Sus scrofa: one gene and its partners. The protein of the gene in region 2 purifies or fractionates together with the protein of the main gene of each other region. This does not show direct contact. Links are inferred from orthologs where the notes say so. Each region holds a gene or a part of one and is shown on either strand. Other genes may lie near its edges. The genes, in order: CALCOCO1, AURKA, PPP6C, MTMR3, PPP6R3, PPP6R2 and WDR62.

What was found.
Region 1: the proteins of AURKA (region 2) and CALCOCO1 purify together in Homo sapiens (affinity purification with mass spectrometry; 3 studies listed by BioGRID and IntAct, counting the BioPlex papers as one, with this or other methods). This does not show direct contact. The link is inferred for Sus scrofa from reciprocal best matches to the Homo sapiens genes AURKA and CALCOCO1.
Region 3: the proteins of AURKA (region 2) and PPP6C purify together in Homo sapiens (affinity purification with mass spectrometry; 4 studies listed by BioGRID and IntAct, with this or other methods). This does not show direct contact. The link is inferred for Sus scrofa from reciprocal best matches to the Homo sapiens genes AURKA and PPP6C.
Region 4: the proteins of AURKA (region 2) and MTMR3 purify together in Homo sapiens (affinity purification with mass spectrometry; 3 studies listed by BioGRID and IntAct, counting the BioPlex papers as one, with this or other methods). This does not show direct contact. The link is inferred for Sus scrofa from reciprocal best matches to the Homo sapiens genes AURKA and MTMR3.
Region 5: the proteins of AURKA (region 2) and PPP6R3 purify together in Homo sapiens (affinity purification with mass spectrometry; 6 studies listed by BioGRID and IntAct, counting the BioPlex papers as one, with this or other methods). This does not show direct contact. The link is inferred for Sus scrofa from reciprocal best matches to the Homo sapiens genes AURKA and PPP6R3.
Region 6: the proteins of AURKA (region 2) and PPP6R2 purify together in Homo sapiens (affinity purification with mass spectrometry; 4 studies listed by BioGRID and IntAct, counting the BioPlex papers as one, with this or other methods). This does not show direct contact. The link is inferred for Sus scrofa from reciprocal best matches to the Homo sapiens genes AURKA and PPP6R2.
Region 7: the proteins of AURKA (region 2) and WDR62 purify together in Homo sapiens (affinity purification with mass spectrometry; 3 studies listed by BioGRID and IntAct, counting the BioPlex papers as one, with this or other methods). This does not show direct contact. The link is inferred for Sus scrofa from reciprocal best matches to the Homo sapiens genes AURKA and WDR62.

What each region holds. Positions count from the first base shown.
Region 1 is NC_010447.5:18,920,175-18,923,949, forward strand, and holds part of CALCOCO1 (calcium-binding and coiled-coil domain-containing protein 1), read right to left. Parts: intron 3,668-3,775; coding exon 3,509-3,667; intron 2,862-3,508; coding exon 2,713-2,861; intron 1-2,712. UniProt on the Homo sapiens protein: Functions as a coactivator for aryl hydrocarbon and nuclear receptors (NR). Recruited to promoters through its contact with the N-terminal basic helix-loop-helix-Per-Arnt-Sim (PAS) domain of transcription factors or coactivators, such as NCOA2.
Region 2 is NC_010459.5:56,958,741-56,962,515, forward strand, and holds part of AURKA (aurora kinase A), read right to left. Parts: intron 2,746-3,775; coding exon 2,554-2,745; intron 1,698-2,553; coding exon 1,559-1,697; intron 1-1,558. UniProt on the Homo sapiens protein: Mitotic serine/threonine kinase that contributes to the regulation of cell cycle progression.
Region 3 is NC_010443.5:265,895,286-265,899,745, forward strand, and holds the start of PPP6C (serine/threonine-protein phosphatase 6 catalytic subunit), read right to left. Parts: upstream 2,862-4,460; 5' UTR 2,764-2,861; coding exon 2,689-2,763; intron 1-2,688.
Region 4 is NC_010456.5:47,010,842-47,014,616, forward strand, and holds part of MTMR3 (myotubularin-related protein 3), read left to right. Parts: intron 1-1,031; coding exon 1,032-1,202; intron 1,203-2,411; coding exon 2,412-2,557; intron 2,558-3,730; coding exon 3,731-3,775. UniProt on the Homo sapiens protein: Lipid phosphatase that specifically dephosphorylates the D-3 position of phosphatidylinositol 3-phosphate and phosphatidylinositol 3,5-bisphosphate, generating phosphatidylinositol and phosphatidylinositol 5-phosphate.
Region 5 is NC_010444.4:4,408,198-4,411,972, forward strand, and holds part of PPP6R3 (serine/threonine-protein phosphatase 6 regulatory subunit 3), read right to left. Parts: intron 602-3,775; coding exon 448-601; intron 1-447.
Region 6 is NC_010447.5:306,925-310,699, reverse strand, and holds part of PPP6R2 (serine/threonine-protein phosphatase 6 regulatory subunit 2), read left to right. Parts: intron 1-2,494; coding exon 2,495-2,632; intron 2,633-3,669; coding exon 3,670-3,735; intron 3,736-3,775. UniProt on the Homo sapiens protein: Regulatory subunit of protein phosphatase 6 (PP6). May function as a scaffolding PP6 subunit. Involved in the PP6-mediated dephosphorylation of NFKBIE opposing its degradation in response to TNF-alpha.
Region 7 is NC_010448.4:45,456,892-45,460,666, reverse strand, and holds part of WDR62 (WD repeat-containing protein 62), read right to left. Parts: intron 1,617-3,775; coding exon 1,549-1,616; intron 1,475-1,548; coding exon 1,353-1,474; intron 603-1,352; coding exon 527-602; intron 1-526. UniProt on the Homo sapiens protein: Required for cerebral cortical development. Plays a role in neuronal proliferation and migration.

The DNA of each region.
Region 1 (3,775 bases), on a different chromosome or scaffold from region 2:
AACCCGCAACCTCATGGTTCCTAGTTGGATTCGACAGGAACTCCCCTCAATAAACTTTTGATCAGAAGTTGGCAGATATTTTCTGTAAAAGGCCTAATGGTAAATATTTTAGGTTCTGCAAGCCATTGGAGTGTGGAAGCAGTCATAGACAATACGTAAATGAATGAACATGGCTGGCCCCATAAAACTTTATTTATGAATAATGGAGTTAAATGTCATATGATTTTCATATCACAAAATATTATTTTTTTGTTTTACAATCATTAAAAATTGTCAAGGGAGTTCTCTGGTAGCCTAGTGGTTAAGGACTCAGTGTTCTCACTGTTATGGCTCTGGTTACTGCTGTGGCTTGGGTTTGATCCCTATCCTGAGAACTTCTGCATGCTCTGGCCAAAAACAAAAAAAATTCTCTAAACCATTCTTACCTTTGTGGGCTATACAAAACTATGTGGCAGGCCAGGAGTTCCTGTCCTGGCTCAGTGGTAATGAATCCCACTAGCATCCATGAGGACGTGGGTTTGATGCCTGTTCTTGCTCAGGGGGTTAATGACCTGACATTGCCATGAGCTGTGGGGTAGGTCAGATCTAGCATTGCTGTGGCTGTGGTGTAGGATGGCAGCTGCAGCTCTGATTTGACCCCTAGCCTGGGAACCTCCATATGCATGGGTGCGGCCATTAAAAAAAAAAAAACAACTATGTGGCAGGCTGGATTTGGCACATGGGCCATAGTTTGTTGACCCCTTGTGTAGACAGTCCCTGATCTTTTCCAGATGCTTGGTTTGATCCCTACTTTTCTATTTCGTGATTTAGAACCTAGACATTTAGTATCTCGCCAGGGCAAGACTAACATATCCTGGACTGAAGAAGCCTCAGGGATCAACCCTCCTTTTACTCCTGGTCTTGGACAGCATGCCTTTGCCTTTAAAGAGTTTTGTTTTTTTTTTTTTTTTTTTTTTGGTCTTCTTTTTGTTGTTGTTGTTGCTATTTCTTGGGCCGCTCCCAAGGCATATGGAGGTTCCCAGGCTAGGAGTTGAATCGGAGCTGTAGCCACCGGCCTACGCCAGAGCCACAGCAACGCGGGATCCGAGCCGCGTCTGCAACCTACACCACAGCTCACGGCAACGCCGGATCGTTAACCCACTGAGCAAGGGCAGGGACCGAACCCGCAACCTCATGGTTCCTAGTCGGATTCATTAACCACTGCGCCACGACGGGAACTCCAAGAGTTTTTTTTTTTAAACAAAAACATCAGGAGTTCCCGTCGTGGCTCAGTGGTTAACGAATCCGACTAGGAACCATGAGGTTGCAGGTTCGATACCTGGCCTTGCTTGGTGGGTTAAGGATCCAGCATTGCCGTGGCTCTGGCATAGGCCGGCAGCTACAGCTCCGATTACACCCCTAGCCTGGGAATCTCCATATGCTGTGGGTGCAGCCCTAGAAAAGGCAAAAAAATAAAATAAAACAAAATAAAGATAAAAACAAATAAAATAAAAAAAACCCCATCAAATCTATACCAGTAATGAATGAAAGAAACTTAATTATGTCATTTGATGTAAAAATCTGAAGGACTAGAATGAGAGGTGGCCAATATTTGTGCTATTTGGTAGAAATAATAGTTGTCTGGCAGAAGAAATTTATTTCATGTGGCTCCAAAGGTCTAAACCAGGACCAGTGAGTGAAAGTTATAGAAGGGTAGTTACGTTATAAGAGAAATAAAAATGATGGCTGTCTGACGTTGAAAAGAGGTTGCTGGAGTTGACCTGCGGTACACCAGGTTAAGGATCTGGTGTTGTCACCACGGCAGCTTGGGTCGCTGCTGCGATGCAGGTTTGATCTCTGGCCCTGAAACTTCCGCAGGCCATGGGTACAACCATAAAAAAGAAAAAAAAAAAAAAAAGAAAGAAAGAAAGAGGCTACCTTTTGAGGTAGTGATCTTCTCTCACATACCCTCTTAAATACCTTACATTCCTCCCATTGCTAAGATTCTATGATTTGTACCTTTTTTCAGGGCAGAGATCCCGTAACATTTCTGAATCACCAGTTCTAACATTTCCTAATAGAGAGAACAGAGTCTAATCTCATGCTTTGCTGGGGTAAAATCTGAAATTCATCCTCTCCTATCTTGCCTTGGCCATTCCGTCCATTCTCTTCTTCCAGTCCTCCACCCCAGCTCCTGCTTAGTATCTGCCGCACAATAAACAGTAACCACGAGTACTTCTCAAGGAATACAGAACAGGTTAGGAAATATGGAAGAGAGCTTGGCAGAAAAAGATAGCCCCAATAAGTAGAATACCGTGAGTGAGGCTGAGAAGGGAAGGAGAAACCATGTGAGATGGAAAGCAGGTTTGGTTTTTTTTTGTTTGTTTGTTTGTCTCTTTGTCTTTTTTAGGGCCGTACCCACGGCATACGCAGGTTCCCAGGCTAGGGGTCTAATTGGAGCTACAGCTGCCGGCCACAGCCACAGCCACAGTCACGCCAGATCCAAGCCACGTCTGCGACCTACACCACAGCCCACGGCAACTCCAGATCCTTAACCCACTGAATGGGGCCAGGGACCGAACCTACAACCTCATGGTTCCTAGTTGGATTCGTTTCCGCTGCGCAATGACAGGAACTCCAGAGACCAGGTTTTGCGTGCCTGAAATGGGAGGCTGGGGATCCAGGGTGACAGGAAGGGAAGGGAAATAGTGGGGTTCGAGGAGGTCCCCTCACCTGTCCAGCTCCACCTCCTTCGTCAGCACTTTCTCACTGATGGTCTGGATGTCCTCTTCCAGCTCCAGGATGCGGGCCACGTGGTCTCCCTGTTGCCGGCTCAGGATGTCCCTCTCTTCCGTGAGCTCGCCATGGGACCGGGCAAGCCCCTGGAATTAAGGTTCCCCAGGAAGGAAGAAGGTGAGACTCATCTCTCAAAGAGTGGAGCAAAGGCTTCGGAGGAGGATTCCTGCGTTCGACTATCCACTTCCTACCTGGTCACCTTCCTTGTAAAAGAAACATTCCCTTCCTGGTGCTTATGGCCACCTCCATCCTAACTCAGCATTCCTGTGATCCAAGAACTTGAGTCTCACTACAAATTTGGGACATAGCTCCTGTCATAACCAGTTGAAGCCTATTTGTGACGTCTTAAACTTGTAGGTTTTTTTTTTTTTTTCCGGTTTTTTTAGGGCCACACCCACGGCACATGTAAGTTCCCAGGCTAGGGGTCAAATCAGAGCTGTAGCTGATGGCCTACACCACAGTCACAGCAATGCCAGATCCAAGCCGCATCTGTGACCTACACCACAGTTCACGGCAATGCAGGATCCTTAACCCACTGAGCAAGGCCAGGGATCGAACCTGCATCCTCATGGATACTAGGCACATGCGTTTCTGCTGAGACACAACAGTAACTCCCAAATCTGTATCTTTGATGTCAGAATCATCTTAACAGCCCACTAACGTCTCCCCTGGGTTCAGATTTTGGACCCCAAGTGTGTATCCAGGCCCCTCCCTCCAAAGGCCCAACCCCCACCTTGTACTGCTCCGAAAGCTCCGCGTGCTCCTGCCTGGCGGTTGCCAGGGCCGTCTCAAGCTCCTGTACTCGGCTCCTCAGCTCCGTCACCTGCCCCTCCAGCTGCAGCTTCAGCTGCATCAGGTCATTCCTCTCTTGCTGGCTTTCATCCAGCTGGTTCTACAGGGGACAAGATGAGAAAAGGGTGGGGGGGGTTCTGCCCATGAAGTGCCCGTTGCGAGGTCCCATCCCCACCACTCTGCAGATACCTTTCAGGGCTGCGAAGTT
Region 2 (3,775 bases):
ACAGCTTGGATCTGGCGTTGCTGTGGCTGTGGCGTAGGCCTGCAGGTGTGGCTCTGGTTTGAACCCTAGCCTGGGAACCTCCACATGCCATGGGTGTGGCCCTAAAAAGATAAAAGAAAGAAAGAAATGAGCTATGAAAAGTTACAAATGAATCTCAAATGTTATATGGTAACATATGTGGTTATATGGTAACTGGTTTTCCACAGGGTAACTGGTTACCAATTCTAGTAGCATATACACCATATACACGTCCACTGGAATTGAATGAATAAATGGACAGCGGATCGTGAATCCAAGTTCTTTCAATGTCACAGTGGAAGGTTACAGATAAACGAGGGGGGAGGACACAGGATCCGTGTGACAATGGACTCATGTGTTGCTTAGCAAGATACCGATGGATACAGAAATAGTTTCAGATACATGGATTACCATACGCACTTATTTCCTGGCTCTCTGTCAGCTGAAAGCTGAGACGTTTTAACACGCAATAGCACGAGCACATCTAGTGCCCAGATTTTGGTTTCTAACATTACCTTTTCCAGTAAAGGGAACCAAAGCTCCCTGGAGAAATAACCGATCACAAGACTGGGATAGGAAACGTATAAGATGGAGCTGGAACACCTTACGGCACCAGAAAACAAGAAAGTGCTTTTAAACACACACACACTGACAGGGACATGTCAAAAGGACACGGGAACCATGTCAAAGAGCTCCCAGTGGCCAAAGCTGAAACAACGAGAGCAAAGTGTATTAGATTACACAGAGTATAAAATGAGTCCATAGCAATAAATGATGGAGTAAATAATGGAAAACAGATACATCTCTGGTACAAAATTCCCAATAATTATGACCATGCTCTGCTTTATAGGACATGGAACATGACCACTCAAGGGCTGTTCCTTTGAAAGGACACAGCACGACAGGGAGGAAAAAAGAGTAACTTCACAGTGGAGAGCGTTGCCACTCCCTCCCTCCCTCCGCCAGGGATGAGGCCAACACTCAGGGCTAGGTCAGGTTAACAGTGTAACTCTTGACAGAGGAGAAGGCCTTTTCCCTCGGACCTTCCTCTCAAAACCCATGACCCTGATCTAACCATGAGAAGAATGAAGGAAATCTGAAAGAAGTGTGGATTCCAGTTAACAGCTATGCACCAATACAGGTTCATTAGTTATGGCAACCGGATCACGCTAACGTAAAATGTTAATAGGAGAAATTAGGTGTGTGTTAATAGGAGAAAGTCTGCAGTATCTCTAATTACTCTATACATCTAAAATTAATCTAAAATAATTTTTTTCTTTTTTTTTTTTAAAGAGGGCAACTAATTATATACATTTCCACAGACACAGCTGTGGAAACTAACCAAATATTCCACTTGGTAACTGATTTTATCTGTAAATAAAGGCACATCTATGTTGTTTTTGATTTTTCCATTTCAAATACTTGATCCTATTAAGCTACCTTTCCATTTGACAAAACCCCCTCTATTATAATGAAAGGTACACGGCTACGCGGGACAGAAGCGCAACAGAATTAGTCTGGACAACAAAAGCAAACTTACAGTAGCAGTTCTCTGCTCATCAAACTTTGACAGTTTCTGAAGTTCTCTATAGACAGCTCCGAGAGGTGCGTATTCCAGGATTAGGTAAACTCTGGTAGCGTCATGGAAATAACCATACAGTCTGAGAATATTTGGATGCCTGCAAGAAGGACGAACTCTCTAACACCGGGTTTGGGAGCTGATACAAGAATAAGTACTGAATAGCAAACAAACCCCTCCTGTGAACCCAGTCATGACAACTGCTTCTTGGCCACAAACACCCTCCCCTCCCACCTGGAGAGTCTGAAACTACGGATGAGACGCACCGTAAGAAACAGGTGTACCTCGCCTATCAGTTCACACGCATTTCACACGGTATCAATGGACCTTGTTTGGCTAAGACTATTTCCTTCCTTTAGGCCATCTTTGCTCTTAGGGGGAAAAAAACTAGGTAAATATTAAGTCTCTGCAAATTTGGAAAAAAAGAACAAAACAAACAAAAGGTAGACATGGCATCCCCACAGTAGTTTGATACCCTGGACACAATGAGACAGACAACACAGAAGCCATGTCTGACAAAAGCAGGTGTGCTGCTAAGGACTCTGGGCAGCTGAGCACAGCCTATATGAGACATTACCAAAAAATTCACTGAAAGCGAAAAAGAAGAAAAGACCCACTGGCTTAAGTCAACCTGCAGGCTGCCAGTTTGAAACCTGAACTCAAAAAAAAAAAAAAAAAAAAAAAAAAAAAGAGGTGTCATTCCCTTTAATTATCCACCAAATCAAAAAAACCCCCAAAAAACATGTCCAGTAAATTACTCCAATAACAAAACAAACCTTCAAGCAATGTTCCAGGACCACAGCACTTAAGTCTAAATCAACCTCTGAAGAGTGTCAAATTTAATCACTCTCTGCAGTGCTAGGAAGGCAGCCTTCTCCAAAGGAGGTTATTACAGTGAGCTCGTTAAATAACCAAGTTCCATCCATCCCTCTTCTGACATCGACCTCAAGACTTACCTAAGGTGGGACTGTATTTCTACTTCTCTTCTCAGCTGATGCTCAACTCCTGCCTTCTCCAGCTGAGTTTTAAACAATACTTTAAGAGCCAGGATAAACTTGCTTTGTTTTTCTCTTGCTAAATAAACATTACCAAACTTTCCTTTACCCAGCGGGCGGCCAATTTCAAAATCTTCCAAAGCCCATTGCCTTCTAGAAAAGAATTGAACATTTTAAAATGTGAAGAAAACACTTTTCTAACAATGTATGAGTGAGTAGCACACATTCTATAAATTATTTATATTATTTATAAAATATATATATTATTCTATAGATAATTTCACATTCAAAGTTGCATTCGGTATGCACCCTCTTCAAGAGGCCAATAACCACAATGAATGAGTCCACACAGACATCAAACCCTGCACCGCCACCCCGCCCCCACGAGTCTGCGACAAGAATAGTCTGGACTTTGAGAGTTGAAGCTCCCTGGGAGTGTCTCAAGGCATCCTGAGTTCTGGAGCACGGACCTATTACTGACACCACTTAAGTCCATGAAAAGGATTAGAGGAGTAACTGGAAAGGGAAGACTGCTTCAGAACCACCTGCGAGGAGTTCCCGTCATGGTTCAGTGGTTAACGAAGCCTACTAGGAACCATGATGTTTCGGGCTCAATCCCTGGCCTTGCTCAGGTTAAGGATCTGGCGTTGCCGTGAGCTGTGGTGTAGGCTGCAGACTCGGCTGGGATTCCGAGTTGCTGTGGCTCTGATGTAGGCTGGTGGCTACAGTTCCAATTCGACCCCTAGCCTGGGAACCTCCATATGCCACAGGAGCGGCCCTAGAAAAGGCAAAAAGACCAAAAAAAAAAAAAAAAAAAAAAAAAAACCACCTGCAAGCCCAATCAGACTAACCACAGCCTCCTCTAGCCCAGGAGGCGCCAACACTGGGGTAGAGCATCACTCCCGTCAAGCCAGCGGGATGGATCCCACAGGGTCGGGGGGCGAGAACCACCAGATATAGATTCCTGGGAAGTCTATTAGGCATCGAGAGCAAAGAAGGCTGTGGGTTCATTCCTGGCTCCTACGACATTCCAGAGTCTAGACAGTTCAGACATTGAGAGCAGAGGAAAATACAGCCAAGCTCTATCATGAAGACCAAGTGCAATAATTCTATTAACACCTTCAAAATACTCACACAGTCATGTATGTCTCTACAGTTCTGCAACAGGACACTTTATTGCCAT
Region 3 (4,460 bases), on a different chromosome or scaffold from region 2:
GTGAATGACAAGACTAGAAGACTTTAAGTCTGGAATGATCACGTCTACCATATATAAGAATCTATAAGATCAGATAGAGGCTGAATAAGGAGGTGAGATAGTAGTTCATCAAATCTCAGAAAACAGCAAGGGAGGATTCTTTGAAGCTTTACGAAGGCACTTCAAACAGGTATGACTTTGCAGAGCAGGTGGCCTTATATGAAAAACTCAGAGATGGCTCAAACTAAACATAAAAGTGAGTCTCCAAAAGATTACATTAACTATTATCCATAAAGGTGGTTATTTTTCCCTGTATTACATGAGATAGACACTAATATTCTCCAAACTCCTACCACAGAAACCATCTTCAGTTCTTCAGTAAAAAAAAATGAACACCAACTCAGTGTGCAACTTCTTTACTTACGCGGCACCTTTGAGAACTGTCAGAGAGATCAGACAATCTCCAAGTCATAGAATCTCTCCTCTGCCAAAATTCTAAAGTCTAAATATTCAATAAACCTGCATTTTATCATTCATTCTTCCAACTGGCCACAAATGGAATCTACACCTTCTATGATACACTGTGAGATATTTACCGTGGATGAGAATCACATGAAGTCTTTTTTAAGAAAGATTATGCTTTGGTCCACTCACTTGCACATATCATCCTTATTCCTTCAAAACAGTTAAGTAGATTTGTTCAAGGACTAGCAATCTAACCACTTCCAATTTAAATATAGAGATTTCATGATTAGATCTGGAACATCCTACGCATTTCTTTTTTTAGAGCCGCACCCGCAGCATATGGAGGTCCCTAGGCTAAGGGTCGAACAGGAGCTGCAGCCACTGGCCTATGCCACAGCCACAGCAACGTGAGGTCCAAGCCACATCTGTAACCTACACCACAGCTCATGACAACACCAGATCCTTAACCCACCGAGCGAGGCCAGGGATCGAACCTTTGTCCTCATGGATGCTAATAAGATTCGTTTGCACAGAGCCACAACAGGAACTCCCCGCATTTATTTCATTTAGTACCTCCAACTAAATTTAAAACACAGGTAAATTTCTGTCTTTTTCTACCAGAACAAATCTTTTTCCATGATGATCATTAAGTGGCCCCAATTATTTATTTCGTTCCTTTGATGGAATATTTTACTTTGGCTTTAACGCCTCAGAAAAAGTGCTCCTGGAATACTTTCTTGGCAGGCTTAATTTTAGTTTGTACTTCATGCCAAGAGGTATAAAATTAAATTTCTTTAAATACACAAGAGATGCAGTACAAGAAAATTAATCTGATAAAAACATTTCCAAGACAAAGAAGAGAAGCCTCCACTTACATAGAAAAAAATCAGAACTCTTTTTTTTCTAGTAGTTGGCCGGGGGGGGGGGGGGGCGGGGGGGAAGAACAGATACACACTAAGTGCAGTCCAACTGTGTTGCAAAGAGAAATGATATGGTTTAAAAACTATATTTTCTTAGGTTGGGAAGGAAACTTAATGTTTATCAAACTAAGAAGTCGAAAGAAAATCCAAGGGAGTTCCCGCTATGGCTCAGTGATAACGAAGCCGACCAGTATCTATGAGGAAAAGAAAAAACCAGTAATATCTTCCTTAAGGGGAAAAAAAGTTAATGGACAATAATAAATTACGTTAAACCCAGAGCTTCAAGAATAAAAAGGACTCAAAAGTATCAACAGTTTGTGCATGCTCCACACATCAAATCAAGGTTAGCTTAACACATAAAACATGCGCTAGTACTAATGGCTCAAACACTGCTAGACGCTTGAGCACTGGTTTTAACAAACGCATTGCAACACCTGTCTAAAAAGCAGTATCCCAAAGACTTATCTCTCTTTATTCTTCCACTCATTTCTTTACCCAAACACACATTTATTGTTACCCGGACTCGGCAGTACAAGGAACGACTCATCTCCTTTGAAAAACCAAGAAAACGAAAAGAGCTAAGAAGGGACTTGGGGGAAACACCTTAAAGGACAGAAAAGTATATTTATCGAGAGCCCACTACTTTATGCACATAAATTAGCTCAACAGTGTACTCGAAAACAGGGTCATATTGTAATTAGCGAAAGAAGACCAACACTCCTAAAAAGCAACCGGGAGAAGTGAGCGGTCCGGAAGAGGGACGACTTGACGTCCTCTCGCATCACCATCAAACCGCTCGGACCCCCATCAGCCCTTTCCCACCCTCATTTCTCAGGGAAAGAAACACACTGGGGCCGCGTGCCGGCGGCCGGCGGCATCTCCTGTCAGACGCCGGCACCCCGCGTTCCCGTCCCGCTCCTGGAGGAATGAACCCAGGCCACTCCCCGCGGGGGCCCGGCTCGGACTCCGGAAGACCGGGGGTCGAGCTGAAGGAAAGGGGGTCTTGCAAGCAAAGCTGTTAGGGCTCGGTGCCCTGGGGCAGCCCCAAGGCCAGGAGCGGCAACTCTGGGGCAGAGGCCGTGACACATCCCTCGGGAACCCCGCGGAGGGAACCGGGACAGCATTCGGCAGACTCGGGCTCCCCTCCTCTCCCCGCGTGACGTCCAGTCGGACCGGGTCCCTCTGCACCGCTTTAGGCCTTCCACCGTGACGGGACAGGATCCCGCCGGGGGTCCCGCGGAGAGAGGAAGGGCGGGCCGGCGGGCGCCCCACTGCCGGAAGGGACAAGCCCCGAAAGCAGCGTTCCCGCCTCGGCCGGGCTCACCTTCAGGTCGTTCTCGGGCAGGTACTTGCATAGACGCGCTATCTCCACATACTTGTCCAAGTCCAGGGGCGCCATTTTAGAAATAACAAGCCCCGACAGCGGCGGCGATATCGGCGGCTTTACTAGCTGCGGCAGCGGCGGAGGCCGAAGCCGGAACCCTCCCTACGTCACATCCGGCCTGTGAGAGGCGTCTGCGCAGCGGCGTAAAGTTTGACCCGATTTTCCCCGCTGCCTTGGCACGCCCCACGCCCTCGCCGGCTAAAACCAGGTTGCGGGCCCTTAGAGGCCCCCAGTTTGCATAGAGCAAGACCGGCTGAGACCCTTAGTGGTCTGCCGCGGGGGTTGCTGGGATTTGTAGTTTTCCAAAGTACCAAACAGTCTTCTTTTTCTTTTCTTCCTCTGGACTTTCACCTCTGCGGAACCCAGCGAGGCTTTTCCGGTACAAAACAGCGAAGTAGGTGACTCTACCTAGCCATTCCCTAGTTTCTCACGCCGACCTTCTTAAGCATTCTCTCACCAGAATGTCTTCAGTTAAAAATTGGATAAGCCTGGCCATCGTAGCAACCTATTCGCACCTTTCCAAGGCCCTGTGAAAACCTTGGCTGAACCCTTGACAGATAGGTTACCAACTTTCCAGGCTGGAAAGAAAAGGACCAAATACTAAGCACTTCTTATGCTAATCGTTATACAAATGCTGTTTTTCCGTGTAATCCTCATAACAAGTGATAGGAAAGGAAGGCTCAGAGAGGTTATGTAACTCTTAATCTGATCTCAATAGGGAATAGTCGGGAAGCCAAGATTGGAATAGGTCTGGTTGGTTTAAGTCTACTTCAGTCCCACGAGAGCTGAGAGGTTTTTTGTTGTTGTTGTACTCTCAGCACCAAAAACAGAGCCTGGCACTTAGTATACTTTCAACATTTCTTCACTCAACAGCTTTTTTTCTTTTTCTTTTTCTTTTTCTTTTTTTTTAGGGCCTCACCTTTGGCATATGGAAGTTGCCAGGCTAGGGGTCAAATCAGAGCTGCAGCTGCCGGCCTACCTCACAGCCACTTGGGATCCCAGCCACATTTTCGACCTACACCAGGGCTCAGGGCAATGCCAGATCCTTAACCCACTGAGCGAGGCCAGGGATCAATTCTGCATCCTCATGGATACTAGTTGAGTTCCTTACCCTAGGCTGAGCCACACAGGAACTCCCACTCAACAGCTATTAATTGAACACTTAACTAAATGCCAAGTACAGTTATGCTTGGGGTATTCAGCAGGCAAAACAAAGATCCCTATCCTCTAACTGTAGCTATATTCTAGTAAAGGAGACAGTAAATAATAACTATAGTAAATAACCGTAGAGTATATTAGAAAGTGGTAGGTGCTGGGGAAAAAAAAAAAAAAAGCCGAGTAAGGGAGTTCTAGCAATGCATATTTAAGAATCAATAAAGAGGTGGATGAGGAGTTCCCATCATGGCTCAGTGGTTAACGAATCCAACTAGGAACATGATGTTGCAGGTTCAATCCCTGGCCTTGCTCAGTGGGTTAAAGATGCGGCATTGCCGTGAGCTGTGATGTAGGTTGCAGATGGGGCTCGGATCCTGTGTTGCTGTGGCTGTGGTGTAGGCCAGCAGCTATAGCTCCAATTAGACTCCTAGCCTGGGAACCTCCACATGCCGTGGGAGCCAGCCCTGGAAAAAGGCAAAAAGACAAAAAAAAAAAAAAAAAAAAAAAAAGAGAGAGAGAGAGAGGTGGATGAGTTAGCCGTGCAGTTACTTGGGGAA
Region 4 (3,775 bases), on a different chromosome or scaffold from region 2:
CTTGGTGGGTTAAGGGTTGGCATTGCCATGAGCTGTGGTGTAGGTTGCAGATGAGGCTCAGATCCCTCATTGCTGTGGCTGTGGTGTAGGCTGGCAAGTAGTCTTAATTAGACCCCTAGCCTGGGAACCTCCATATGCCACAGGTGGTGTGGCCCAAAAAGAAGACAACAAAAAAATAAAACATAATGCAGACTGTGTCATTACTCTGTCAAGAAACCTCTGATGACTTTCTGTTTCACACAGAATAAAAGTCAGTCCTTAAAGTGGCCTGCATGGCTCTCAGGTTACCCATCTAGGCTCATTTCCTCCTATCCTCCACCTCATACCGTGTCCTTCAGTCTCAGTACACTGGCCTCCTCAGTTCCTCAGAAATTGCTAGCCTGTGCTCACCTCAAGACCATTATGCTTGCAGTCGACTCTGGCTGGAGCAGCCCCCCACCCTGTCCCGAAAGTGCAGTATGACCTGTGCTCTCATTTCCAAAAGATTCCACTAGTGAGGGCTTACGCACTACCCTGTGTGTGCTCTGTCCCTCTTACCCTGCCTTATTGTTCATAGACCTGGTTACCCCTCCCCCACAACTAGAGCAAGCTCCACCAGGGCAGTAGAGCTATCTTCTCATTCTGTGGGTGCCTATCCAGCACCCATAGAAATGTCTAGGGTATGTGAGATGTTCAATAGCAACTTATTGAATTAAAGTTGTTGAGAAATGTGCTTTTAGTTCAGACTTGGGTTGCACAACTGCTCCTGGGCCCAGTTTATATGAGTGGCTGTTAATTAGGACCTCAGAGACTGTGCCAAGGAGGCCAAGAGGATGGGGGCGACAGCACTGTCTTTGCTTTCTTGACTCAGGAGTGACAGTGGTTGGGGTTGTGAGGAGGCTGCGATTGGGTGGCTTACTTGGTTGCCCCATCTTTACCCGTTATGAACTGAAGTACACATCAAGGATGTTGGGGAAGGTGGCTCAGCTACGCTGACCTTCCCCAGAAAATGTGTATCCACTGCTTGATTTTGCCTCATTGGACTCCCACAGGTGAAACTGGTGCAACATACCTATTCCTGCCTCTTTGGAACATTCCTGTGCAACAACGCCAAGGAGAGAGGAGAAAAGCATACTCAGGAACGGACATGTTCTGTGTGGTCGCTGCTTCGGGCGGGCAACAAGGCTTTCAAAAACCTACTGTATTCCTCTCAGTCAGAAGCCGTACGTATCCTTTAGCCTTTTCTCTCTGATGAGCAGGATGAATTTGGGGATGAGGATATACGGGAGCCTTTTTGAGAAGTGACTTTCCTTGAAGGCCTCTAATTGTCTCTGGATGGGTTGGTTCCATTTTTTTCCCCCAACCACTCTGCCTAAGAAAGATGCTGATACTTTCTGGTGATGCTCTGCCTTGCTTCTGACTACTCTTTGTTTAGGGCAGTTAGATTTAATACCATCTCTACTTTGCCGCTCTAGATATTAGTCTTTTACGCACCTCTGCCAGATCTTAACTTACTCTTAGCATGTTCTGTTCACAAGAGGAGGAAGCACTTAAGTTGTTCCCTGGATGCCCCTGAGAGCACAGAAGGAGCTGCCATTAGGCCCCCAGCACCCTTCCAGTGTCAGCAGACAATAATGCCCTCTATAGCTTCTGTCTCAGAAAACAGAAAACTTTGTGACACTAGTGTGTGCGTCTGTGTGATTCTCTAGTCACATGGAGAAATGGCAGGCCCTTTAAGACTTTTTTCCTCAAAGGAACAGAGGAAAGGAAGCACTTAAATCTGTGCATTAGTACGTGGTACCATTCCCTTAGTGAGAATGCATCTGAAATTCTAAAGTCACAAGGAGGCTAATCAGGAGTTAAATTGCTTTGCTAGACTATTAATTAATGTCTTAGTACAATTAGGTAGTTCAAGGAAAGATTGAAGCTAGCTGCTTCTCTCTCTTCTCTGCCTGGTGGGGAAGTAACAATACATAAGGAAAATTCCTTCCTTTTCTTATAAGTAAGTTAGATGATCCTTTAAAACAGGTTTGACATGTCTTTGGAAGCCAAGCTTTTTTAACAGGGAACAATCATCATCTAGCAGAATGACTCACTTGAGCCGTAAAGCAACAAAGTAGACTGAGAAAAGCCAGTCATTCAGTAAAGATGACCTAGAAATGACTAATGAAAAATGGATTAAAAATTTTTTTTTGACATTTTCACAGCCATAGGGGCTCTTAGATGAAAAATCCCACCAACCCCAATTCCTAGTTCTCTATAGGTCCTTTTGGGAGATAGAGCTGCATCTGCACCCACTGTCACTAATGCCCTTCAGACTGTACAGGACTGCTGGGCATTTCTACTTGGTCTTTATTCTTCACCCTCATTTCTGGATGTTTCTGACAGACTTGTTGGAACTCATTTAACCTGCCCACTTGCACTTTCCTTAGGTGCTGTATCCTGTGTGCCATGTGCGTAACCTGATGCTATGGAGTGCGGTGTACCTGCCCTGCCCATCCCCGTCTACCCCTGTGGACGACAGCTGTGCACCATACCCAGGCCCTGGCACCAGCTCTGAGGATCCGCCCCTGAGTCGGTGAGCCCTGAGGCTGATGCCAAGACCTCAGATCCTTTGTGGTTGTATTCTTGTGCTACGCTATATATACCCAGGGATGATTGGAGATCATGACATTGTCAAGCTGCACACATTTCATTGATCTTTGAAGTTTTCTTAGGGAAAGTGTAAGGATTTTGGGCTATGAGGCTGTAAAAACCTCATTTTCTGTAGAGTATTGGGCCCTGTTGCTACATGGCTCTGCTGCATGCACCAAGCAGTTTCTCAAGTGGTGTTTCTCTGGGTGTTTACTGTTTGTTTTGCAGCACATACAGCATGCAGAAGTTCCTGAGCTAGGGATTGAACCCAAGCCATAGCAGTAATGCTGCCAGCTCCTTAAACTGCTGAGCCACAAGGGAACTCCTCCTCTGGGTTCCTTGTGACTCTCTAGCTTGAATTTCAGCAATTGCTCTGTGTTGCTGCCTCTCTGCTGTGATTTGTTGTCTTGGGCTTATAAAGGCAGATGACTTCAGATGATAAAAAGTTTGACTTTGCAACGTATGAATTAGCTTATTGAATTCAGTCTGATAAATAATAATTAAAAATATTGTAATAGCAGAAAATCAGCACTGCTACTTTACTTTGCCACTAATTGAGAAACAGCAGTATCATGAAGAATGTTTTTTTATTTATTATTATTTTATTTATTTATTTTGCTTTTTTGGGCCACTCCGTGGCATATAGAGGTTCCCAGGCTAGGGGTCTAATCAGAGCTACAGCTGCCGGCCTACACCACAGCCCCAGCAATGTCAGATCCTAGCTGCATCTGTGACTACACCACAACCACAGCTCACGGCAGTGCTGGATCCTTAACCCACTGAAGGAGGCCAGGGATCGAACCCATAGCCTCATGGTTTCTAGTTGGATTCATTTCTGCTACGCTACGATGGGAACTCCAAGAATGTCTTTTTTTTTAAGAGAGCATTTGCTGTTAGCTTATTTGTATATGTTGGGTATAGTGTAGGTGTGGTGCCAGAGGAATAGAAGGACTCATCTTGGAGCTTCATCTTCCTGCAGTCTAAGCCTCACCCTAGATATGCCATGGCTCCTTGAGTAGCTGTGATGAAGCTAGTTATGAAATGACTGTTGAAATGTATTGTCTCCCACTTCCCTCTGGATAGCCTCAGATTCTCATTTCCCCCAAACTTTCTTTAGGCTACCAAAGACTAGATCATTTGACAATCTGACCACAGCCTGCGA
Region 5 (3,775 bases), on a different chromosome or scaffold from region 2:
CAAGAGACCGAGGGCCGTGCCGCTTGCCCCCTTAGTTTTCAGCACTAGACCAGCTACACATGAAATACAGGTTCAGAGTAGCTATTAAATCCAAGCTGTAGTCTGCATTTTTCTGCAATGCTCCAGGCAGAGGTGCCTGTCAGGAGGTCCCTGCCTGCACCCTGTTCCCAGGCCTGTTCTGACAGTGGGCTGGGACCGGAACAGCCCCGAAGAGGCCATCCTGACAGCTGAGTGGTCGGCCTCCTCTCCCAGCCCCTCCTCGATGAAAGGGGGGAGGAGGGAGCCTCATTCTCCTAGACAGCCTCTTCGCCGAGTGCTGCCTGTCCATCTTGTCTGAGGCGCCTGGTCCACGTGGAGGAAAATCAAGGTGACAAACAGCATCGAGAGCACACATGGCACCCCCGGTTCTCGGGGAGGAAGGTCTGGGGGGCCGGCACCCAGGCTCACCTCAGGGAGGACGTGAACTCTGAAAAGGAGGCCCAGCCTGTCTCCTTCGTTGGCACTGACTCCTCTGTGCTCCAGACGTCAGACCCCACGGAGTCCAAGGCAGCACCGTGGGCGGTCTCCATGGGGACGTCAAAGTTGGCTGACCAGCTGGGCGCTAGAGAGGGAGGAATTTCACCTTGAGAATAAATACTTCAGTCGTTTCATCGAATGCAAGTTATTTTTCAAAAGCAGATGTGCAGTGATAAAACAAACAAACAAAACACCCCCACCCCCGCAGCTGTGGGGCAAGGAGTATTTATTCTAAAACACTTAGTCACTGGGAGAGCAACTTGATAACATCTATCCTGTCATAAAACTGTGTTTCCTTTGAGCCCTTAGCAATTCCCTTTCCTATGATTTTTTTTTCCCAATAGAAATTATCACACAAGAATTCAAAGCCACACAGAGAGGAATATGCTGAAGCTAATTTCTTTCTCTTTTTTTTTGGGGGGGGCCACACTCACGGCAGCACATGGAAGTTCCCAGGCTAGGGGTGGAATCGGAGCTGTAACTGCTGGTCTACACCACAGCCCCAGCAACTCGTGATTCGAGTCACATCTGCCACCCACACCACAGCTCACAGCAACGCCAGATCCTTAACCTACTGAACGAGGCCAGAGATCGAACCTGCGTCCTCATGGATACCAGTCAGATTTGTTTCCGCTGAGCCACGATGGGAACTCCTGATATTACTTTCTTAATTTTGACAAATGCACCAAGGTTACATCAACACTGAGAGGAAAACGGGTGAAAGGTACACAGCCACTCCCTGTACAATCTTTGTAACTTTTCTGTAAATCTAAAATTATTCCAAAAGAAAAAATTTATTTTTTTTAAAAGCACACTGCCTATTCAACTGCAGTCAGCTGGAAACAACCTCAGTGCTTCCCAGTCCACACCCGGGCCCGTCACACTGCGGCTTCTGACGGCCTCCCTGCAGTCTACAACCTTGAGCACAAGCGAGAGCAAGGATTCCTACGACACAGTACGAAACACCTAGTGGGCCCCTGCCCGCCCACCCCCTCAAGCCTTGAAATCTCTGACGTGCCGAGCTGTTCGGGTATGCCAGTGAGGTGACTGGTGGCTGGGGGGCCTGGAGGGCCCGAGGGTGGGTGTGTGGGGAAGCCAGGTGATGAGAAGGTTGAAACTCTCAGCTCCCCGCCTCCACCTTCTAGAAGGGTAGAGGGACTGGAAGTGATCAATGATTGATCAACTGAATGATCAATGATTTGATCAACCACACCTGCTTGATGAGGCTCCAATAAAACCCCAAAGGGCAAGGCTTCCTCTGGGCTGGCAGACAGAGGGCGGCACGGCACCAGCTCCGCGGACACAGGGGCTCTTGTGCTCCAGACCCTTCCGGACCGTGTCCTGTTCCTCTCGGAATCTGCCCATTCATCTGCTGCTACTGTTTTGCTTTTTGTTTTTGTTTGCCTGCTCTTTGTCTTCTCAAGCCCTCACCTGCAGCATAGGGAAGCTCCCAGGCTAGGAGTTGAACTGGAGCCACAGCTGCCGGCCTACACCACAGCCATGCCAGATCCGAGCCACATCCACAACCAACGGTGCAGTTCGCAGCAGCGCTGGATCCTTAACCCACTGAGCGAGGCCGGGGATGGAACCCAGCAGGCACTGAATAGGGTTGGTTTCGTGCTTCCTGCCCAGGGACCCGCATACGTGTGGCAGGACCGCTGACATCCAGAAGGACGCCACCTCAGTGCCTGAAAATCCCACCTGCAACCTCGGAAAAGTCAAACCGACAGGAATCTTCACAGGCGTTTCTGCCTGCCCGCCACTCGCAAAGTTCTGCATTCATTCCATCCGCAAAGTCCCCCTTCCTAAGTCAGGCCGCACACAGACTCTCCTGCTGCTACCACTCTGGGGCAGTCTTTCCCAGACGCGCTCCCAGAACTAGTCCAATCAGAAACTCTCCTCAGCAGTCCAGAGAAGCTCCCAAAGAAGCGACATCCTTCCCCCGCCGGGGTGTGAGGCCCTCAGAGCCAGGGGACAGGGCAGCTCAGAGCCCCGGGGAGGGCCCCCCGCCCCCAGCCCCACCCCGACTCCCGGAGACCTGCCAGCACAAAGGAAGCCCTTCCAGGGAGCAGTTGGGGCGAGGAGCCCCCAGGGCTGTCCCCAGTGGGACGGGGTGAATGTGACCTTCATCCAAACGTCCCCCTCCATCTCGCCCCACCCCCACCCCCACCCAGAGAGTCACACTCAAGTGTGTGTCTCTCTCCGAGACACAGATTCTGGAATATTATTCAGCCTTAAAAAAGAATACAATTGTGTCACATGCCCCAACACGGATGAACCCGGAGAGCGTCATGTTACGGAAATGGAGCAGTCACGCAAAGACAAACACTCCAGGAGTCAATTTCAGAGACAGAAGGTAGCATGCGGTGGCCAGGAGCTGGGGCGGGGGACATGGACGGGTTGTTGAACGGGTGTAGCTTGGGGCTCCCAGGATGAAAAAGTTCTAGAGGATCTACGTGAATAGACTTAACAGTGTTGAGCCATACCTGTGAACACACACACACACACACATACACACACACACTCTCTCGAGCCAAAGGATCAAGGCCTCCGGCCTGTCTTTCTCCCTGCCGCCCGGCTCCTGTTCTGATCAGCCCTCACCGTTCCGAACACGTAGCGGTAAATCTCTTAATTCAGGTTTCCTGTCTCCAGTGTGTGCTTTCTCATTCAGCTTTCACACTGCTGCCAAGCATGATCATCTTCAAACAGATCAAATAACGTTATTTTCAGTAAAATCCTCGGCAGGAGGATTACAGCTCTCAGAATAAAACTCTCGTTCTGGCCTCCGGCTTCGCTCCCACCATCTCCCCCTCCTCACGAGCTGTGTCGAACCGCCGGTGGGCCTCTGGGCTCCCACACTAGCTGCTTTTCTTTCCAAGGGACGAGTCCCTCCTTGTGCTCGTGAAGCATCCCAGTCCCTGGAAGGCCTCTGCAGCTCCTCCGGCTCTGCGCCCTCGGCCCCCTGGCACGTAGGACGACCCCAGCGGCCGCAGGCTGCTCTGAACTACGTCGCAGAGAGAACAGCCCAGGCCTTCCGCCGGAAGACGGCGAGCAGGCGACAGAGTGAGAGGACAGAGGGTCTGCCTTTCCCCTCTGGCTCTCTGCTTTCGGCATCTGCAACCCGCGGGCTCTGCTAAGCTCTGAGCTTGTGATGGAGTTGAGCCCAACCTCCAGAGCTGGGTTTCAGCCTCCAGAACGGCGTCAAAAAGGCCTTCCTGGGTAACAGGAAGCACTGCCAGTTTTGAAGCAAGGCCGGTAT
Region 6 (3,775 bases), on a different chromosome or scaffold from region 2:
TCCTTAACTGCTAGGCCAGCAGGGAACTCCTAAACAGTATCTTTTTAATTGAAATTTTGCACTGAGATAATTGTAAATTCCCATGCAGTTATATGAAATAAAATAAAGATATCTTTTGTACACTTTGCCCAGTTTCCTTCAATGGTGACATTTTGTGAAACACTAGTGGCAGATCACAGCCAGGAACTGACACTGAGAGAATCCACTGACTTATTTAGAGTTCTCCCCTTTTACTTGTAGTCTCGTGTATGTGTGTGTGTATTAAGGTCGGAACAGTTTATCACTTGTAGGGGTTTGTGTCTCCACTGTCACGTCCAAGCTATTGAATGGTTCCCAGAGGGCAGAGACCCTTTGTATTGCCCTTTATAGCTCCTCCCTCCTTCCTCCTTCCTCCCTCTCTCCCCCATCACCCGTCCCTAACCCCTGGCAACCACTAAGCTGTTTCCATTTCTGAAATTTTATGTTCAAGTGTTATTTAAATTAAATCATATAATGGGTGTTCCTGTTGCAGCTCCATGGGTTAAGAACCTGACACGTGGGAGTTCTTGTCGTGGCTCAGTGGTTAACAAATCCGACTTAGGAACCATGAGGTTGAGGGTTCAATCCCTGGCCTTGCTCAGTGGGTTAAGGATCTGGCATTGCCGTGAGCTGTGGTGTAGGTCACAGACTCAGCTCGGATCCCACGTGGCTGTGGCTCTGGCGTAGGCCAGCGGCTACAGCTCTGATTAAACCCCTATCCTGGGAACCTCCATATGCTGTGGGAGCGGCCCTAGAAAAGACAAAAAAAAAAAAAAAAAAAAAAAAAAGAATTTTTGCGTCTTTGGTTATCAGTGAGACTGGGTTATAATTTCCTTTTCTTAAAAGTGTCCATATCAGGTTTTGGAATTGAGGTTTTTTGTCCTTATTAGGGTATATGCTCTCATTTTATGTTCCCTGGAAGAGTCTTGTGTAAGATTGGGTGTTTCGGAATTCCCCTAGGGGAAACAAATCCCACTGGTAGCCAAGAAGTTGCGGGTTTGATCTCTAGCCTCCTCAGTGTGTGGAGGATCCAGTGTTGCCGTGAGCTGTGGTGTAGGTCGCGGACATGCCTCGGATCCTACATTGCTGTGGCTCTGGTGTAGGCCGGCAGCTGCAGCCCCGATTCGACCCCTAGCCTGGGAACCTCCATATGCTGCAGGTGCCGCCCTAAAGAGCCAAAAAAAAAAAAAGATTTTTTTTTTTTTTTTTTTTCCCTATAAATGTTTGGTAGAATTCACTAACCAGCCCATTAGAGCCTGGAGTTTTCTCTATGGGGAGGCTTTTAATCGTAGCTTTTGTTTCTTTGATGCTCTAGAACTCTTCAGATTTTCTCTTCTCATCAGTCCACTTAAGTGTGTTTTCATTTTCCCAAATTGACGTAGATGGGCGTATTGGCGTTTGCATCTGTAGGGTGTGTCGGGATGCCCGGAGCCATTCTGCTGGGTTTTCAGGCTTTCTCTCTGGCAGTTTCAGTCACTCTTCACCCAGAACCTGCTCTTCCCCGCTCTCCCTCTTCCTGCTGGGCCTCTCCTCACTCTTCCTCCCGCCACCCCCTTCGCCTCCAGCACGAGTTTGGTGGAGACCTTAGCTGGGTGGGCCTTCTGTGTGTCCCCACTGTCCCCGGCAGAGTTCTGGGTGTGCCTCCGCACAGTGGCCTGGACACACAGGCGTTTCATCTCTGTGGCCCACCTAAGCTCAGCGCCCAGCCCCGCCCGCGGCTGCACACCCAGCTCTCCACGCCTTGCTAGCTAGCACCAGTCACCAGCCAGCCGACCCTCCGCCTCTGCTGCAAAACCTCAGTCCTTTCCCTCCAGCCACCTGTGGGGCTGTCAGCCCTCCAGATTTGTGTCCCGTGTCCAGGGCTGTCAGCACAGACCCCACCCCTCACCCCCACCGCCCTGACTCAGCACAGTCTGCACCTGTCATGTGTGGGGTTTTTTTGTTTTTGTTTTTTGGTCTTTTTGTCTTTTTAGGGCCGCACCCATGGCACATAGAGGTTCCCAGGCTAGGGGTCTAATCGGAGCTGTAGCTGCCAGCTTACGCCACAGCCACGGCAACGCCGGATCCTTAACCCACTGAGTGAGGCCAGGAATCGGACCCACGTCCTCATGGATGCTAGTCAGGTTGTTTCCACTGTGCCACAACGGGAACTCCTGCACCTGTCATCTGTGCTGGAAAAGCTCGAGCCAGTGCGTTTGGAGTGGTCGCCGTGCACAGCAGCTTGGGCCATCCCACGTGGGTGTTCCACTCATGTTGTCACACAGCCTCAATGTGCAGCAAACCCCGCCAGCCCGGGTCCTCTTGTGCCCCCGCCGCCTGGTGGGCTCGCCTGTGTGTGGGTCTTGGCCTGTCCTGGGGTAACCTCTCTTACAGTTGGTCGTAGCTCTCCACGTTTCTGCTCGACATTGTTGAAAGCAGGCTTGCGCATGGCTGTTCTCGGGGCCACCTGCGCGCCTCTCAGGGCTTCTGGTTTCAGGTGATCGTGTTCCTGAGGAAGAAGGACAAGTTCATCAGCCTGGTGCTGAAGCACATCGGCACCTCGGCCCTCATGGACCTGCTGCTGCGCCTGGTTAGCTGCGTGGAGCCCGCTGGGCTCCGGCACGAGGTCCTGCAGGTGAGCCTGAGGCCCCGCCTCCCCAGAGCCCCTCTCCTCTGCGCGGGATCTCTGGCACTAGGAGGCTGCCTGGCACCCCAGCTTTCTCCACCTTCCTCCTGGGATGGGTCCTGGGTTCTTGCCAGGGCTCGTAGTCGAGGCCAGGGCTGGCGTCTCTGCCTTTTCTGCTGTCCTGCCTCACCTGTTTATGAGCAGAGAGCAGAAATAGGCTTCCTCACTTCTGCCCCACCCGTGGCGCCTCTGGGCTCAGTCAGGTGGCCACTCTGTGCCCAGTCGGGTGCCTGAGAGGAGGCACTTGCTGACGAGGATTTGCAGGCAGAGAAGTTGGAAAGCCCGGAGTCAGCCTGTTTGTCCTGAGCTGTGTGCCTGTGGCCGCCCTGGCAGTATTCTCAGCGAGAGGCACTGCCCGGGGCTCCCAAGGGCTTTCCCGGCAAAGAGGAGGGTTCTCAACCCAGAGAAGCCCAGAAATCAGGGCAGGACACGCTGTTCGCTGGGGGTTGGTAGGTTTTGTTTGTCATGCAATTTAAAATTAAGTAAGTACACCATTGGTCCTTCTTGCTGGTTTTCCTGCTCCTGGAATTAGGTGACAGTTGTCATCAAGGTGGCAGGTCTCACTCTTAGAGTCCTAAGTGGCCTCGTTAGGGAGCGCCTCCTACCGCGATGTTCTGGTAGAGGTCCGTCAGCACAGGCCTCAGCCTCCGGGCCTTGGCGGGAGCCTCCCCCGCCTCTGCGCCGAGCAGTTTTGGGGTAAGGAAGTGCCGGCCTGTCCAGGGAGCCCCTCCTGACCGGGACAGAGGCGAGGCCGGCCTGGGCGCGGGGCGGGGAGCCAGCAGAGGCGCCTGAACTGTCAGGACCCGTGGACGGGGACGCCCTCCCTGGTGACCTCGGGGCCTCTGCTCTGCTCTCTGGGTCTGGGTGGCCCTGCCTGCTGCTGAGGAATCGCTCTTGGAACCTGGCAGGTGGATTTCTGCGGCCCCGAGGGGCTCTCCTGGGTAGGTGTGAGCAGAGCCTTGGACCGGCGTCCTCTTCTCTTTCAGTGGCTCAACGAGGAGAAGGTCATCCAGCGGCTTGTGGAGCTGATCCATCCGAGCCAGGACGAAGACGTGAGTGACCAGCTCTGCTCGGGAGCCTGGCCGGCCGCCA
Region 7 (3,775 bases), on a different chromosome or scaffold from region 2:
TGTACGTGTGTGAACCTATTTCCTCCACAGAACTCTCTGATAGAGGCTTCTTTGCATTTTACAGATGATGAAACAGGTTGAGAATAGATGACATTTGCCCAAGGTCACAGGCAGCCTGAGGCAGAGCTGTTAAGAGGGTCTGACCCTGAAGCCTAAACTCCTTGTCCAGAGGCCCCTAAGAAGGCTCCCACCTCGTCCTGGATGACACAGGCAGGGAGCAAGGCTGGAGAGGGACCCCAGGTCTCTCGGATTCTTCCCACACCCCGCTCTACTGACACTCAAGATGGAAACCACTTAAATGGCTCCGCTTGGGGCAGGGTTCAGTAAATAAAGGTAGAGCAATCAGGGCTGGCTCCCCGCATCCTTGGTCAGCCAGGCCTTAGTGGATACTGGCCAGGGTGTGATCTACGGATCAGGTGCCAAGGAGGACGCAAGTCTCAGGCGGCCTAGCAGGGGAGAAGACAGAGAGGGGGGCCTTGTGTGTGGCTGTGTGTGCGGCTTTCACCCGGGAGCCCCAGTTTCTTACCTTCAACAGGGACCCTTCATCTCCCTGGGAGCCCTTGTAGCACTTCTTCTGCTTCCCGTTCACGGTGTTGTAGACTCTAGGAAGGTGGGGGGCATAAGTGACTAACCTGGCCCTGCCCACTCACCCTCTCCTGTCCTCTGGATCCAGCCTTACCTGCTCCCTCCTTTCCCCTGGAAGTCCCCATTCCTCCTATCCCCCATCTAATGTCTGGGCTGAAACCCCATGCCGGGGAATGTGACCTCATCCCAGGCTGGGTCACAGAGGCTATGTACTGGGTGTCCCTTGAGTTCATGTCTGCCTCCCCGTCCATAGCAAGCTGAGGGCCTGGCATCCAGTTCGAATGAGCAAATGAAGGTGGTGGAGAAGCTCTCTGCACATGCTCATTCCTCCCCATCCTCCCGGGCTAAGCTCAGCCGTCCCTTCCAACAGGCCCTTTCCACAAGCTCCTGTTGTCCCAGCTCTGGTCACTCTGTGCTGTCACAGTCTGGGGAGGTTCTCTCTCTTCCACTCCACATGACTTTCCCACTGTCCCTTCTAGACAGCTGCTCAGGAAACAAGGGTGAGTGAATAAGTCTACGAGCCACATCAGCACCTCTCAGTCACCCCACACAGGCTCCTGAGAGCCAGGGGAACCCTCGGCTGACCTGGGTGAGCCCAGCTCCTAAGAAACACCCACACGGTCCCTCCACCCCACCCTGCTTCAGGGACCAGATAAGCAGGAGGAAAGCAAGCAGCCCATGAGAAGACAGGCCCAACTAGGCCCCTACAGGCCCCGCTCAGAAACCAGCCCAGGCCAAGCCAACTCAGAAGCCAGGACTGCCCTCACCTGACGTTGCGGTCCTGGCAGGCCACGGCCACATACTTCTGGGTAATGTCAATGTCCATGTCATACAGGGTGGTCTTCTCTGCCACGTGGTGGGTACGGACGAAGTGCAGTCCATCCGAGGCCTGGCAGGGCAGGCAGGGCCTTCAGAGGACGCCCCTGACAAGCCCCCTACCCCAAGGAGGCCACCCCACGCTACCTGCTGGGCACTGCGGAAGTAGATGCTCTTGTCGGCACCACAGCTGATCATCTGGATGTCTCTGCTGCCTGGAGGAAGGAGCAGTGTACTAGGCAGGGCTGGGCCACCGCTGGGCTGCAGATCCTAGCTAGGGAAACTACCGCAAGGGAACTCTGCTGGGGGTCAGAGGGGGCTTCGTGGAAGAGGTGAGGTGAGTGCTGGGGTTCGTGGAAGAGGTGCGGTGAGTGGTAGAGCCGTGTGTGTGTGTGGGGACACAGGGAGCAGTGGGCTGCAGGCCTCTGCAGAGCAACAGCAGGTAGGGAAGCAGAGGCCAGGACGCAGCAGGGGCACCATGTTTCATGTGGGATTTGGAGAGGTGACTTGGGTTGCAGCATGGAGGTGGGACTGAACAGAAGAGAGGAGACAGGCAGACCTCTGGGAGGCTCACACTATCAAGAACAATCAGAATATCCACACATTCCTCGGTCCAGGGCCTGCACTGCCTGCGCCTCCCCTTCCTGTCACCAGCCACTGCGTTGCACAAATGGGAACCCAGGGGCTCAGCGTCACACAGTCCTTGTCCCAGGGTGCAGCGTCAGGACCGGGCCAGGGCTGAACCCAGGCAAGCTCTGGTTAAACACTGCTCTGTAGCCAGGCTTCCTCTCTGAGCCTCAGCTTCCAGCCTGTTTAACGAGCCTCCTTCACCGTGGAGCGGCGTGAAGCTCTAGGGACAATGGTTGCCACCTGGTAAGCACTACTGGCGTGGCGTTGCTTTTATCCTTCTTTCTTTATAAAATAACAATAATCACAGCACAAATACCTCAGAGAGTTGTAGTGAGAATGAAAAGACAGAACACACTGCTCCTTCATGACAGGACTTTTGAAGAGCGTCCGGGCCTGACATGCAAGTTAAGGTGTTGCTCAGGCAGGAGTTAGCAGATCACGGAAGGGGGTGTGTGTTGGGGGCTGGAGGGAGGGGGACTGGGACCCAGGAGGGACCCAGAGAGGGCCTGCAAGTCACTGGTAATGTTTTGCTTCTTTACCCAGGGTGGTGAGTCCAAGTATTTAGCAATACTGGGACCAGGACCAATCAGAACAGTTGCTGGCTGTAAACAATGCGTGTCTGGCATGGTTCAAACCTACCAGCTATGACCCTTGATGTGGACACTCACTGAAGGAGTCTGTGAACTAGTAACAGGTTTTCTGTGTATTTTTGGATGTGTATTTCACTGACTCATTTTTTTAGCTAGGTAGCTCCAGACAGTTTCTGACTGGCTGGAGCCCAGTTTCTATGAACTATCAACGTTTTGAGGACAAGGCCCAGGCGAGCCAGCCCAGTCGGAGCAGGGTTCACAGGAGTTTGCTTTAGGATGCGCCTCCTCAGCCTGGCTGGGACTTTACCAGAGGCCCACACCTTCTGAAGGTGGCCTCAAGGACTGACTCTTGGGCCACCCTCTTGGGCAGTCATCACCTCTCTAGGATCTAGACCATTCTTTAAAGGTGAGGTCACTGCTGGCCAAACTTCCAGGTTTACTGAACAATTCTAACTACCCTGTGGAAAGAATGGTCTTTTAAGGATGTCTGAGAAGTCTGAGCAGATGAGCTTTTGTTAGATCCTCACTAAGACATTGCAAATATTGTTGACCCGTTTTGGCCCAGCTCCTGACCACCTTAGTTAGACAGAGGCAGGGCAGGAAGCGAGAAAACCAAGGCACATTAGTACATTCTTAGCCGCAAGATTATGTGAAGGAAACTCTTCATGGTTGAGAACTTGGAGTACACAGATGTATTCTCTCCATGAATGGAATCTTTTTTTTTTTTTTTTTTTTTTTTTTTTGGTTTTTAAGGCCACACTTGCAGCACATGGAGGTTCCCAGGCTAGGGGTCTAATCGAAGCTACAGCTGCCAGCCTACACCACAGCCACAGCAACACCAGATCCGAGCAGCATCTTCGACCCACACCACAGCTCATGGCAACACTGGATCCTTAACCCACTGAGCGAGGCCAAGGGTCAAACCTGCAACCTCATGGTTCCTGGTCGGATTCGTTTCTGCTGCGCCTCGACGGGAACTCCGGATTCTTCTTGAATACAGTTTTGAATATGTTCCTAGGTTCTAATCAGTTAAACCCCCATGAGGCCTACATGCTCTTCTCTTGGAATTCCTCATGGCCAGGGATCTCCACACTCAATCTTTCCAGTCTTGGAGGGATCCCTTCAATTGCTGGGTTGAGCACAGGCTTTGAAGG